Linked DNA regions of Lonchura striata. The protein of the gene in region 1 purifies or fractionates together with the protein of each later gene. This does not show direct contact. Links are inferred from orthologs where the notes say so. Each region holds a gene or a part of one and is shown on either strand. Other genes may lie near its edges.

Region 1 (8,003 bases):
TTACTTTTACTCAATTTGAAATTATAACAAATTAGCCTTTTAAGATACAAGTAGCCTTTCCTGGATACAGTTCAAGGTATCTGTTACCGGTAAAACAGCAGATACCAGCTGGTAACAGACTGCTGACACTTTTGAATTCAACATTAGGACAGAAGTGAAAGCGTCACCCCAGATGATAACATCATGTAGAAACGTAAGCAGCCAGTGTTACCTTCCTGAAATCTACTTTTCATTACCACTTGATGGAAGTTTTACCTATAAAAGGGATCGCACCCTAATGTTCAACTAGCTATCAGCCCTTCAAAATAATCTCTGCAGAAAAAAAAAAACCAAAAAACTAATTCATTTAACAGACACACTATATTCCTGTATTTCTTTTTTTTTCTGATAATATGGCTTTGCATAGTGTCAATATTTTCATTAAAACAACAGAGTCTCAAAGCAGCAGCAACTTATTATTAACTGTAGAAGTGCAGGAGGACAAGTCTCTATCTTGTTCAACAGTTCTCCAATTAGAAAAAACTGATTTTGAGGCCATGAAGACCAAATACAACATACTTATGAAATACAGGTATCAGTCATTAAGTTTTTAGAGGAAAAAAATAATAATCTGAAGGCTATGTTGTATTTAATGAAAAAATTTGCAGCAGGCCAAAAAGCCAATCCATAGCTCAGAGGGAAGCAGTCTTTAGGATTATGAGCTAAATAAATTTTTTCAATAACAAGGTAAAAAATCCTAAACAAGAATAGTGCATGCTATGCAAAGCCACCTTGCTGCACGTTAGATGCCATAGGGATCTACAGTGTTCATTTGTTCACAAATGTCTCTTATTGTTGCCTTGACCCAGACTACTTGGTTTGCAACCTATACAGAACAGTATTGATACTCTAGATACAGAGAGCTGGAACAATTATTGTATATTTAGAGCTGTAAGTAATATCACTCATATTCTCAGTAGGGACCACTGGAAGCCTATCTTCCTTTTATGAAAGATAACTTGGAAAAAAAGTATCTGGAAATAAGTGTGCATCTAGTTTCAGGAGGAAATGAAGCATCTAGTTTCAGGAGGAAACATCAGCAGTGCTTAAAAAGTTTTACACTGAATTCTAGTAAAGTCTGGACATGAATGTGTCTCATACAATTGGTTTACATTCAGTAGTATTCCATGTCAGCTTTTCATTTCAGTGGCATTTTAACTTTGCCTAGATTATGTCTCAGAACAGCCATTTCTGAGACTGCCCATCTGAGGCACAGTCTGGTAAACCAAGTCACTCAGAATTAATTCAGAGTGGCAGAGACAGGTGAAAATTGTAAACTGGACAGAATCACACCAGTGACAACTATCAGCAGCATGAATTCATCAGAAAGCAACGGCAGGAGACCTTTCACAATTATCAAATAAAGCACTGACTTTCCAGTTTGATTTTTCCAGGTTGCCATCACTGTTAGAGTGAAACATTCACTTAGCCAAATGTCTGACCCCCTACATTACCTGAGCTCAAGGTATATGCTAATTGAATTTTAAGAAGTGAATACATGTTCTTCACCTTATATCAACTGATGAAACCATATCACCAGAGAAGGAAATTATGAAAACAGGAAAAACAATTGTAGATCTGGTATTAAATGAAGAAAACGTGTGCTGAAGAGGAAAACCAGTGCATCATAGATAAAATGTTCCTTATTAAGCACAGCTGAAACAAGACAAAAGTAACACAGTACATAACATGGGGACAAGAAAAGTAGTAGCACAACAGCACTCTCCTAAATTTAGGATCATACTAGAACATTGATGGTATGTTAATCTTAGTCTTCTGTTGGATGTTGGGTAAAAAAAACACAAAACAAACACAGCTTTGACCCCTCCCCTCAAGCAGGCAGTCCTTCCATGAGGAAAGAGAACTTAATGCTTGTCTGCTGCATCATCTCTTTTCTCTCTACTCAAGGAAGTACTAAGTTCCCACAGAAAAGAATGGGAATTGCTAGACCGGGGAGGGGGAGGGGAAAGGTCACTATTCCAAAATGGCTGGGGCTGTTCTTTTATAAGTTTCCCTTGAAAAAGAGACTTGAAGGGCTGTGCTTTCCAGATATTTTTACTGCTTTCCTAGAGCAAATTATCATCCTATTTACTATACCTTATTGATTTTTTTCATAACTCATCAATAGCTAAAAGAGGTTGTGCAGAGCAGATACAATGGATTATCTACACGGAGGGGGGGGAAAGCTGCGGTTTTTATGCACCTATTAAGAACCACAACCCTTATGAAGAGCTAAGCTCAGGCTTAGCTCTACTCATTTGAGAAAGGATGTTTTTGATTTGCTTGCCCCAATATTTTAAGTTCTCACAAGCAGCACGACAGGAAAACTAACGCTTAGTCCTGCGGTGAATGGCACTATGGGGAAGTTTAAATCCTACCTTATTTCTACTAGCCTCCAAATAAGCAGTATAGCATCCATAGCCCTACACTGGAATTTTTTTTTAAATCTGAGCTGAAAAAAAACCAAAAAACGTTGTTAACCACTGGTCAAGCGGATTGAACATGAAGTTTTCCGTATCTGCAGATCAGCTGTGTTACCAAATAATCCAACAATCCCAGACCCATCTTTTTACGCTTATTTTTCTGTTGAGAGAGCAATGTTGCCTTCCGTACAAGGGCATCGAGAGTTCATACCTGAGCATCAAAATGCTATATACGAAGCTCGAGGATTTAAGACTTCCTGCTTTCGTTACACGACCGGTGTTGTTCCACACAGAGACAGCATTCAGCGGTTATTTCCGCAAGCGCAGATGAGGAAGCTGTTTCTGCCCAGCCGCTGCATCCCGCAGCGGGACCGCCAGTCCCACCCCAGCAACTCAGCCCGGACAAGCCCCACTCCGCGCTCCGATCGCCCCGCGGCCCCGCTCACCCTTGACTTTCCCGAAGGTGCCGACGCCCAGCGTGTCGCCCAGGATGTAGTGCCCGATCTTCACCCGCCCGTGCTCGTGCTTCTGTTTATCCGCCACCGCCGCCATCTTGAGGCAAGGGCCGAGCCTGCGCATAGCGCCCGCCCGCGCCACGCCAGAGCGCCGGCGGGAGGAGCAACCACAGAGCGCCCGCCCGCGCCACGCCAGAGCGCCGGCGGGAGGAGCAACCACAGAGCGCCCGCCCGCGCCACGCCAGAGCGCCGGCGGGAGGAGCAACCACAGAGCGCCCGCCCGCGCCACGCCAGAGCGCCGGCGGGAGGAGCAACCACAGAGCGCCCGCCCGCGCCACGCCAGAGCGCCGGCGGGAGGAGCAACCACAGAGCGCCCGCCCGCGCCCAACCCGGAAGCGGCCGGCGCGCTGACCTCCCTCCCGCCCTGGCCCAGGACCAACCATTGCGGCTCTGGGGGAGGCCGGGCCGGCCCACGGGTGCCCCGGGGGGAGCGGGCCCTGCTGGGCCGCCCAGCGGGGAGGTGGCGGGGCGGGCGGTGCTGCTCGTCAGCAGCGAGCCCGCCCTCATAAAATGGGCCTCCCAGCTCTGTGTTTCCAATAGCCTTGTAAATAAAATCTGTTTGTTCTCCTCAGTTCCTCTTCACTCATCCAGACCCTGTTACAGGAATACGAAGAAAAGCAGGGGTCTCTTAACTACCTTGACCACGTATTCTGCCGTCTGGCTTGCCCTGCCAGCCACTCTCACTATTCATTCACGTTGCATTTAAGCCAGTAACTTGCCTTCCATTCCATACATTGAGTATTTTCTATACACTGAAGATCATAGTTGTTTTTTTGTTGACTATAACTGGATTAAATTTTTATTCACGTTCCAACCCCGCATTGAAAGAAACACATAAACCTGGAGAAGGAGTGACTATTGGGTGGGTATTTTCAAATGAAGAGATCATCAATTGACAAGGAAGGTTATGGGCAACTCCCATGCCTTCACTGCCTTTCCCTAGTGCTCCAGAGTAAGTGAATTATTAAATCTAAAACGGTTTCTTTTCCCTACCCTACGCATAGCCCCTGAATGTGTTTGCAAATAGATAAATACATCAGACAGCAAGAAAGTTTGGACAATTTTATCCTAGTGTCCTAATGTTCTAATGATCCTAAATCCAATTCAGAGAGCCTTCAATATTACTTATGTTATAGTCATTAATTTAACAGTTGGAGACCAGAAATTCTCATATATGCAAAAATTGTATATTTTTAAAAATTCCTCTATGCTAATGGCATAAAAAATTTCATAGGGAAGTAATGAAGATTTCTCCCTTGAGGGGTGTTCCCACTCAAGAGAGAAATCTTCATATCCTCACTCTGGAAAGGGAAGTGTCAGACATGGGTGCATTAAAAAGTGGGACTGAGCTCTTGTAGTGTATAAGCCACATATACAAAATGATTGTCAGCCAGATGTTTCTGGGTCATCTGTGTCAGCTCATCAGCCTTTAGCTCAGCAGCTATCTGAGCTATCTCTTCAGTTATCTGCATTGTCATTTGTGGGTTCATTTCTCAGGAACTTAGCCACATCCTCATCAGGGCAAATTTCTGGCAAGAAATATTGTTTCTCACATCCTCAGGATGTTTAACTGAATAGTTGAGTCAGGCTGGTCTCAGCATTCTTCAACACCAAAAGCAGCATGACACCCCTCCTCCATCCACCTCTGATAACTTTTGCTAACAAGACAAAGTTTGAGCAGTTTTACCCAACTTTGAGCATCCTGCTATACTACAATAGTAACATTACACTACACTACAATAGAACTGTACAAGATTTGAAGCATAATTATAAAAATTATTTGGCCTCATATTAGATCTTTGGCTCTAAAAATCTTGTACATCACAAGTACCAAACACACACAAAAATCAGAATATACAAACCAGCATAGTTCATGATCTGAGATTTTGGGGAAAAATATTTATTGTCACAGTGGGATTGGATAGCAATCTAACATCAGGAAAAGAAAAACTGGCAAGTTTTCTTTTGTGATGCAAAAAGCATTACTTTAACATTTTGGAAACTTTCATTGTAGTATGAGGAGAAAATTATGTGTTGAATATCACACTGGGAAAAGAAAGAGTTGATTAAGCCATAGCTAGCTGAAGGGGGAAGAATTATTTGGGATGTCTGCAGAGTTAGTGTCTTGATACCAAATGATTACAAGCTATTTTTAGCTTTAACTCAAGCTATTGTCCTGATCAAGAACAATACAATGAGACTTCAAAAAGCTCTACAGGTCTATACTAGAAAGTGATATCATTTAATTAATTACTAAGTAATCTCTTAATTACTCAGATACCAGAACATTTTAGAAAATGAAAATGAATGAGCTGTTAGACAGGAACTAGACTGTAGAAGCCATTCATGACTTTTATATTTGCAGCCAAAAATTAGTATCACAAAAATATTTTGCCCATTTGTACTGCGACTTTTATGCTTATATCACTGCATTCAGTTTTACTCAAAGTTCTTTGTCACACCTTGAGCATCAAGTTGCTTTTAAAAAAAGAATAAAAGCATAAAATCTACAATAGGTAAAGTACCCCAGCCTGTGTCAAATAAAGCATAATCTAGGCCAAGCCTTATAGTAACATCACAATGGATTAATATTTTAGTATTTGATGCTTACGTACAATACAAACACAGCTACCTGAACTTTACTCAGTGTGAAAGGTAGTGATAAACACTTCACAATACTAATCATCAGCAGCACTTACTCTCTCACCTTTTGCATGTAAGAGTCATAATGGAAGATTGAGCTTTTTTGGCCAACAGTGCAACTTTGAATAATGTATTGTGAGGGTGTGGGGAGAAGGTTGTCCTCTTAGAATAGCTGGCAGAACAAAACATACCAGAGGAATTATTCCATGAATCTTTGAGGCCAGCTTACTTTCTGATAACTTCTCCATTACACTATTTATCTTGAAAAACCCATGCACTATTTTAAAATCACTTTTTCTGTTTGTTTATTCAACTGGGCATGCCTCTACTTCTAAGACAGCATTTAAAATAAATAATGAACTTAAAGCCGACTTGATTTCTGTCAATTATCTCCATAACCTGATTTTGAGACAGAAAATGGCTGTTAATTCCCCTAGTACAATTTCTTTCTTTTAAATGTAAATTGTTTCTGTATTTTCAATAATTTATTCCCGTAAGTAGGAAGATCAGAGTACTTTAGCAAAAATAGAACTGCTACTCTGTGGAAACATCCTCCAGAGCTGTGTTACCCAGTGTAGTGTTACAAGTGCCACCAGCATGGAGACCTGGCATGTGTGCCCTTTGTGACACACAGGGAGCCAATGCTGTGGTTCAGGAATACAGCAAGGCTTTCCTGACGCATGTCTGCCCAGACACTGCAATGGCCACTGTACAGTTCAGGGCCAGCAAGGAGACCAGGAGTGGGAGATGATGTAATAATTAGACAAGAAAACAAAGGATTGAAGACAAAACAGAAAACATTCTCAGCTTTACTAACAATATGAAAGGGGGAACATTAATGTGACTTGTTTCTACTATCTGGTATTAAGACTTCCTTGGCATCATTGGTGCGCTTTGCAAACAGGCACATGCTGCTTGCTCTTCTCTCTTTGACTTCTGACTCTACATTGCCACTGAATGTACAGCACATTTCTTCTGCAAGTGCCTGGTACTATTTTCACTTTCCTTCTCCTCGCCATAAAAATGTATGTTTTGCCCAGCTCTAGGCTTTTATCTGTTCTGCTGTTTCTAGCTTCTAAGTTGACACTGCAGAAATCACAGAATGGTTTGGGTTGGAAGGCATCTGTAAAGATCCTCTATCTAATCCAACCTATCCTGCAACCAGCCAGGGTTTCTTCAACTAGACCAAGCTGCTCAGAGCCCAGTCCAATCTCTTCTGAAACACTTCCAGGGAGTGGGAGTATTATAGCTTCTCTGGGATATTGAGTATATTGCTTCTCTGGGCAGCCTGTTCCAATGTCTCAGCAGCCTCATAGAAAAAGACTTCTTCCTTTTACATAGTCTGAATCAACTCTCCTTTAGTTTAAAACAATTACTCCTTGTTCTGTAACTGCAGGCCCTTCTAATAGGTCTGTCCCCATCTTTCTTCCAGGTCTTCTACAAATATTGAATGGCTTCCTGGAGCCTTCTATTCTCCAGGCTGGATAATTCCAACTCTCTGGATTCATAGGAGAGGTGCTGCAGCCCCCTGAATCTTCTTTGTGGCCCTTCTCGGGGCATGGTCCAACACAACCATGTCTTTCCTGTCCTGGGGATCCCAGAGCTGAATGAAGTCTCTCTGTAAACAGGAAGACAGAGCAGCAGAATGACCTCACTTGACCTGCTGGCCACACTGCTCTGGATGCAGCCCTGGATGTGGTTGTCTTTTTGGTTTCTGGGCTGCAAGTGCACATTGCTGGCACATGTCCAGCTTTTCAAGCACCATTACCCTCAATCCTTCTTCATAGAGTATCTCTTAATCCCTTTATCTCTCAGCTGGGATTTGCCTTGAGTGCAGGACCTTACTCTTGGCCCTGCTGGGCACCTTTAAATTCACATGAGCTGGTTTGATCTTGTCCATGTCCTTCTTCATGGCATCCTGTTCCTTGGACATGTCACAACCACGCCACTCAGATAGTGCAAATTCTCCGAGGGTGCACTCAATCCTCCTATGTCACTGATGCCATGTTTACTGTGGGACAAATTACACTTTAACCTTCCCTTATGGCTCACGTGCCTACAGAAGCCCTTCTTCTTCCTCTTACATCCCTTCCCAGGCTTGCTTTAGCCACACCTTGCCTTCTTAGCTCTATCCTGTCACAATTGAGCAATGAACCTATGCTTGCTCCAATATACCTTCTCTTGCTTCCTTGCCTGTTTGTTTCCTTCTTGCCCTTCAGTTTGGCAAGCAGGTCTTGACTCAGCCATGCTTTTGGCTTTCCTTTCGTGGTTTCTTACAGATGGGAATTGAGAGCTCTTGCTCCTTGGAACACACACTTTAAGATCTGCCAGCTCTGTTCCACTCCCACTCAGAGGGCAGTGGGTCTCATACACTATCTCCTAG
Region 2 (7,661 bases), on another chromosome or scaffold:
CAGCAGGGATATTAGGAAAAAAGTTCTTTCTCAGAAGGGTTGTCAGGCATTGGAACAGCCTGCTCAGGGAAGTGATGGAGTCACCATCCCTGGAGAGATTTAACGGGCACCTGGGGACACGGGTTACAGGTGGCCTTGGCAGCTCAGGTTAATGGCTGGACTCAATGATTTTAAAGGCCTTTTCCAACCTAACGATTCTGTGATTTTATTACAGTGTAGCTCATGATTTCTAGATCCCAGACCGAGGAGCTGCGGCACAGGGTGAGGTGACCCCTCCATGCAGCTCCCTGTCCCGTCTGTGCTGCTGGGATGGCACCAAGCAGCTCCTCACAGGAGCCCTGGGCCTGCCATGGCAAGCTTCCACCTTCATGGGACGTGGGTGTTCCTGAAGGAAAATGCAAACACAGGGAAGTCACCTTTCTTTGTCTCTCTTAGAATCCTTTGAGGCAGTGAGGGGAGCCCTCCTGTCGCCCTGGGCAGTTTTGCTGTTCCGTGACAGAGACCTTGGCCAGTCCATCCCTGCCAGGCAGTGAGGGGTTGGCCCTGCCAGTGCTCCCACAGCCACACGAGGCTACAAGTGCTGGAAAAAGCAACTTCCAGGCAGCTGTACCCAGAGGGAGGAATGTCCCCAACCATGTGGGGGAATGTAGGCTGATTCCAGCTCAACCTCAGCACCTGGCACACCTGCAGGATGCTGCAAATGGCTCTGATGTGAGCTGGATTTGCCTCTGCTCACCCAGAGCCATCGCCAGGGCTGCCCAGATGAACTCACTGCAGCAGAGATGATGGATTCAGAGAGGAGGCACTTAAGGGACTTGCACTTTACTCAGCAGCTCTATGACGCCTTCTTTGGTGAGGAACAAAACCTCGCTGGCATTCTGATTCCAAACCTCAAAGACCGGGGGGTCCTCGCAGACCCTCTTCCCAGCCACCACCACGTAGGGATAGCCCAGCCTTTTGGCATCCTTCAGCCTCTTGCCGATGGTCAGCTGGCTCCGGTCGTCCAGCACCGAGTCGGCAGCGAGCTGGGGCAGCGCTTCGGCCAGCTCATCGTACACCCGCTCCAGCAGCGCCGCTCCCTCCTCCTCCTCCTTGCTGCCCCTCTTGGGGGGGATGAAGCAGAGCTGGTAGGGCGCGATGAGGCTGGGCCAGCGGATGCTGTCCTCGGTGGAGAGCACCTCGATGGAGGCCGCCAGGATGCGAGTGACGCCCAGGCCGTAGCAGCCCATTTCTGCCAGCTGGGGTTTGTTCTCGGCGGAGGAGAAGACGGCGTTGGCGACGGAGGAGTACTTGGTGCCCAGGTAAAACGTGTGCCCCACCTCGATGCCTTTGGTCTCGGTGAGTTTCTCCCCGCACGTGGGGCACGAGGTTTGCTCCCCGTTTAGCGTCTCCACGTTGGCTGCGAAATGCCCCTGAGGGCACAGCAGCAGCCTGTCCTCGCCGATGTCTGCCGGCAGCTGGAACTCGTGGGACGTGCTGCCACCGATGCTGCCCGTGGCCGCCTGCACCTTGACGAAGGGCAGGCCCAGGCGGGTGAAGAGGCTGCAGTAGGCAGCACACACCTGCTCGTAGGTGCGCCGAGCCGCCTCCTCGGAGCTGTCGAAGGTGTACATGTCCTTCATGTAGAACTCCCGGCTGCGCAGCAAGCCGAAGCGGGGCTTGGGCTCGTCCCGGAACTTCCTGGTGACCTGGTAGAGGCGCAGCGGGAGCTGCTTGTAGGACAGGCCGGTCTGCGAGGCCACCAGCGCCGTCACCACCTCCTCGTGCGTGGGGCCCAGGCAGTAGTCGTGGTCGTGCCGATCCACCAGCCGGAAGAGCTCCGGCCCCATCTGGTCCCAGCGGCCGCTGGCGCGCCACAGCTCCGCCGAGCACAGGCTGGGCAGGTTCAGCTTCTGCCCACCCACGGCCTGCATCTCCTCGTCCATCACCTGGATCAGCTTCTCCATGGCGCGGACGGCGGGCGGCAGGTAGCAGTAGCAGCCGGGGCTGGTGGGATGGATGAGCCCCGCCTGCAGCATCAGCCGCTGGCTGCGGCAGGTGGGCTCCCCGGGCCGGCCCTCGGAGCCCACCTGGCTGCCCACGGGCAGGGCCAGCGGCTGGAAGAGCTGCGAGAGCCGCAGGCGCCTGGCCCTGCCCGGGGCGCCGCCGTGCCGGGCCCTGATCCCGCACTGCCGAGCGCCCAGCGCCGGGAGACGGCAGCTCCTCAGCAAGGCCTCCATGGCGGGCACGGAGAGGGGCTGCGGAGAGAGAGGGGACAGAGCGGGGGTCAGCGCTGACACAGCGCAGGGACTGCGCCACCCTGACACGCACACGGGTGTCAGAGCTCACACGGACCCACACGCACCGGGTGTGCACATACAGGTACCCCGTCACACGGGAATGCTGCACGGGCACACCCAGGTGTGCACATACAGGTACCCCATCACACGGGAATGCTGCACGGGCACACCCGGGTGTTCACATACAGGTACCCGGACACGGGAATGATGCACGGGCACACCCAGGTGTGCACATACAGGTACCCCATCACACGGGAATGCTGCACGGGCACACCCGGTGTGCACATACAGGTACCCCATCACACGGGAATGCTGCACGGGCACACCCGGTGTGCACATACAGGTACCCCGTCACACGGGAATGCTGCACGGGCACACCCGGTGTGCACATACAGGTATCCCGTCACACGGGAATGCTGCACGGGCACACGCGGTGTGCACATACAGGTACCCCATCACACGGGAATGCTGCACGGCGTTCACACAGCCCTGCGCGCTTCCCGGGACACCCCGGTACCCGCACACGGACACGCACGAACGCGGCACGGGCAGAGCGGCACACAAGCGGGATGATGCTGCCCACGCGGGAACACCTTCCGGGATGTGCAGGTACGGGCATGGATACGCGGGGATGCCACGGGGGAACACCTGAGCGCACACTCACGCCTGAGCGCACACTCACACCGGAGCGCACACACACACGTGCACGCGCACACGCACACCCGCGCGCGCACTTACGGCCGCGGGGGCGCGCGCCCGGCCCCGCCGGCGCGGCCAATGGGGAGCCCCTCCCTGTCACGCGGGCGGACCCACGCGGCAGAGGGGCGGCGCGCGCCGCTCTCGCTGGTTCCGCCGGGCGCGGCGGGCGCCCCCTGCCGGGCGGGAGGACCGTGCGCAGCGCCCGGGGCGGCGGGCGGCGGCGGGACGGGAACAGCGATCCCACGGGGACAGCGATCCCACGGGGACAGGGCAGGACAGGGACAGCGATCCCACGGGAACAGCGATCCCACGGGGACAGCGCAGGACAGGGACAGCGATCCCACGGGGACAGCGATCACACGGGAACAGCGATCCCACGGGGACAGGGCAGGGACAGCGATCACACGGGGACAGCGATCCCAGCAATGGCACCCCCACGGTTTGGGCATCCCTTCCTAACTGGGACGCCTTTCCAAGGCTTGGAAAACCCAGAAGCTCCTGGTTCTTGGGAGAGGCTGCTGCTGTGGAGCTTGCTGCCGTCCCACCGGCTCAGAGGGACAGTGACCACTTGTACATCCTGGCCTTGGAAGAACTGATGTTCTTCACCTCAAAGAGCACTTTGGCAGCTCCATCCTCCCCCCGGTCATGGCTTTGCACAGCTGGGTCGTGTCCAGAGCGTGGTTATGGCACACAGCCCTCAGCTCCGCAGGCACCGCCTGGGAACTCCTCGTCTTTCTGAACCCCCTGCTCTGTCCATGCCTTGGTGCTTCTCCAGCCTCACCTGCCCAAAGCGGCGTCTGCAGGAGGCACCACAAGGTCTCGGTGGAGCCACACTGCCCCAGGGCAATGACCTGCTCGAAGCACTCGATGCCAAATGTTTTCTGTTTGTCCCTGAGGAGCTGCAGTTTGGGAATGGCATCATCCAGGTCAAACTCCGCCGCTTGGCCCAGGAGTTCTGTCCACCAGGAACAGTTCTTGCACAGATTTCACCCTCGTGTAACAGTGAAAAATAGTAAAAAGAGCCAAGACAGGAAAAAAAGGGTCCTTGAAAGTAATGAGTCCATCTGCTTCCCCTTCCAGGCTCAGTCTTGGGGCAGCATGTACTGAGTGTTCAGGGACAGAAGCACTTGGAGGGTACCTGAAGGAAGGCTGAGAGATCAAAAGCCACCTTCTTAGCTCATTCCAGCTCTCTCCAACCCAGTCTGGCAGACACACATCGCCTGACACCCAGTGACCACCTCCACACTGCACTTTCCAGCCTCCTCCCTCAGCTCAGAGGGAGTTCAGCATCTCCGGAGCACACACTAAAGCACTCCACTGGAGGAGGAGACAGCACTTCAAAGAAGAGTTAAATAATCCTCTTTAAATAGAGGGAAAGAAGAAGAAACCCTTATTTTAAAAATGGGATTTGAAGAAATCTTCACAATTCTTTTATAATGTAATGTGCACTCCTGTTTACAGAGGACTGGATATGGGCAAAAGCAAGGAATTAAGGAGCACATGTGATGCTCTGGGCTATCTAGAAACATTAAAGTCATTAAACAGTTGAGCCAGTTCTGCCAGGTGACTCAACCACCTGTGTGCCCAGAGGCACCTGTGGGAGTCCCTCAGCAGCTCCCAGACCAGCCTTACCTGGTTTTGTCAGGCAATCTGTGCTTGTCACCACAATTAGACAGGCACTGTAAACGCTGTGGCTGTCTCTGAGGCTGGAGATTGGGATGGATCCCTGTGGGAAGGGAATTTGCTCACACCTTGGACAGCCAGGTGCTGCTGTGTGTCCCTGGGGACCTCCACAGCCACCCTACAAAGCCTTTTGTCCATCTCCTCCTACTTGCCCAGGAACTGTGAGGTTTTCACCAGGCAGTTCAGGACAGAGGGTTGTCTCCATTTCTATTGTTGGAGCCAGAGAAGTGAAACACATTTCCGTCAGTGACTTATTACCTGCTGTGCTGATCAAAGGGACAAAACCATCTTGGATTGATTCTCTGGGGCAGTGTTTTAACCAGGAGGGTTTAAGGCTACACAGGAGATGTGGTCTGTGGGGAAAGCTGATCTGTTATTAAATCAGCAGACAGGACCGAATGCAGGGCTCAGCTCAGGGGTTATGTGCCTGAAAGCCTGTCTGGGCTCCTTATTTTTTCCAGCTGTGCTGGGGGAACCTAATAAAGGTACTGCTGCCCCTGCAGCCTTTCACCAAACTGCTCCCCTGCTGCTTTGCTGGGGCTGATTTATGGCACTGGGGCCAAAAGAGTGGCCTGAGAGGGGCATGCCCTGCACAGGAGGGGCTCAGCTCCTGTCTGGGGCCTCTCTCTTTGCCCCGAGGGATTTCCGGGAGGAAAAATGCTGAGGATGGGGAAAGATAAATGAAAGACCAAGCAGGCAATAGCAGCTGTCTTGAATCAGTGCCTGGTGCAGCACCAAAGAGATCAAGGGGTCAGTGTGGGAGTAACCACTGAGCTGGTGGAAAATGGTTCTTCCCTTTCCAGCAGCATCCCCAGGTAGCACCAGGATAGGGCTAGGGAAAAGAAGTCAGGGCAGGGGAGAGGCCAAGTCATTCAGTGGTCAAACCTCTCTCCATCCTGCAGAGGATTTGCAGTTTGGGCTTGGGGTGGGCACAGAGTGGTGGCACATCCCATCCACCTGTGGACAGCTTGTAGGGCCTGTGACCCCAGGGTGCTGGCCCACAGCCTTGGCTCACTGATTTGATCCCCTCCACTGATATTACTGTAACTGCTGGACAACGTTTTTATGCCCACTGGAGTAGCGATTCCAGGTCCTGCCTTTGATTTGCCCCTTGGGGAGTAGCTGGGAAATATAAAATTACTGCACACCCCCTGTGCCCTGGCAGCTACCCAAGGTGCAGTGTTCCCTCTGGGGTAACCCTGGGGTGCTTCCAGACAGCTCCTCTTGAGCAGACAACACTTTGTTTTTTTCCCTGCTGCTTTCCAGCCCTGCCTGCACAGGGGAGGGGACATTCCCGGGGGCATGGAGATGCTGGGTGCCACGGTGATGGTTGCCATGGCAAGGGCTGCCACCATCCCTGTGGTCCCTGGGGACCAGAGCTGTCAGCAGGTGGCTGCAGGCAGTCCTGGAGACATGGGCAGCTAGGTGAGAGCTGCACGTGTGGAGGCAGCTGGACTTACTCTTCTCACCTCCCAGGCTGCCTGTGCTCCTTGCACAGGGGCTGTTTGCACAGGATGGTCCAGCACACGCAGCTCAAGCTGGGAGCAGCCTGGGGTGGAAGCACGGGATGTGCTGAGCACCCAGCAGGGAGAACACGCTGCCCACAGGCAGGTGAGCCTGGCAGGAGCTCAGCAGTGCCCACATTACCTCTGCCTGCATCCTCAGGCCTTTGCCCTTTTCAAGGGATGCTTGGACAACCCTTCCCATTAGTTTTGCTCTGTTTCACCTGCAAGCAAGCGGAGACACTTCATGGATGAGGGCAGCTGGGTCCTTTTAGGTGCCAGGAGCTCCTTGTATCCTCCAAAAAGTCATTCTCTGCTGCTTAAAAGCCAGTTTTTCCTCTAGCAGCATCAGCAGCACATTGCAGAGCCAGTGCAGGTAGGAGCCCTTCCCCCAGTACCCATTCCTGGAGCTGTATTCATCTTGGCAGCTTCCCCATGGAGAACCAGAACAAAGCCTAAAGGGCTCAAAGCAGACAGGGAAAGCTTTTGTCTGAAACAGTCCACCTTGGCTAGGGATGATCAGCAGGAATCCACATGGCTTCTCTCCTTTATCCAGCTGAGTGAGGAACAGGCAGCTTGAAAGAGGTCAAGACATCTTCATAATTGGTGGGGAACTTTCAGATTACACTTGAGTGGGGAGGTTGTGACACTGCTGCCCTTCACTGCAGCTGGCAGGAGGGGACTGGTGAGAGAGCTCAAGCCTGCAGGGATAATCAACTCTTTATGGCCTGCTGTGACCAGAGCTGCTCCTGGAGGAGTGGTGGGGCTCACTGGGTGCTGTGTCCTCCTCCCTCCCCTGCAGCGTGGGCTCCCTTTGGTTAAGATGTGCCACTGTGGTTGTATCACTTGCTGAGGTGAGTGGCTCTGCTGCTGGCACAACCAGCCTGCTCCTCAGAGGGTTCCTCAAACTGGGGGAACCTCAGGAGCAGCCAGGAGCCTGCAATTCACAGGGCAGTGGCTGATGGGAGCTGGGGAGGCCCAGGAGCAAAGGACAAGAGAGACAAAGTGTTGGAATTGTACCATGCCTTCCCTGGGATAGATAGGGACCACAGAAAGCATGACAGAGGGGATATCCTGTCCTCCCTTTGCCTGGCTGAACATGGAGACCTAAAGGAGGGGGGCAATGACACTGCAATTGAGCAGAAATTAACTGTTTTCAGGTGGGACTTTAGAGAAATTACATACCTAAGAGGATGCCAGACCCCGCACATCCTCCCAAGGAAGGTGTGATGGCACACACAGCTCACTCAGGGTTAAACACATCCTTTCAAACTCTGCTGCTACTTAGAGGAATTGCACATACCTGTTCTGGGTGGTGTTACCACACCTGAGTAGCCCTAGGTCCACCACAACTCCACAGAGAAGTGGGTCTAAAAAAGAGCTCCCATAGCAAAGACAAGCAGGGAATGAAAACCTGGAGGCACTGCAGAAAGTAAGATGAGCAGAAAATCTCAGCAGCAACAAAAGCTGGCCATAAAAAGGTACTGGGAGCACGTTG

Evidence for each region.
Region 2: the proteins of PRKAA1 (region 1) and PARS2 purify together in Homo sapiens (affinity purification with mass spectrometry; 3 studies listed by BioGRID and IntAct, with this or other methods). This does not show direct contact. The link is inferred for Lonchura striata from reciprocal best matches to the Homo sapiens genes PRKAA1 and PARS2.

What each region holds. Positions count from the first base shown.
Region 1 is NC_134642.1:35,979,379-35,987,381, reverse strand, and holds the start of PRKAA1 (5'-AMP-activated protein kinase catalytic subunit alpha-1), read right to left. Parts: upstream 3,084-8,003; 5' UTR 3,042-3,083; coding exon 2,909-3,041; intron 1-2,908. UniProt on the Homo sapiens protein: Catalytic subunit of AMP-activated protein kinase (AMPK), an energy sensor protein kinase that plays a key role in regulating cellular energy metabolism.
Region 2 is NC_134611.1:8,828,014-8,835,674, reverse strand, and holds PARS2 (putative proline--tRNA ligase, mitochondrial), read right to left. Parts: upstream 3,047-7,661; 5' UTR 3,018-3,046; intron 2,238-3,017; 5' UTR 2,220-2,237; coding exon 807-2,219; 3' UTR 722-806; downstream 1-721. UniProt on the Homo sapiens protein: Mitochondrial aminoacyl-tRNA synthetase that catalyzes the specific attachment of the proline amino acid (aa) to the homologous transfer RNA (tRNA), further participating in protein synthesis.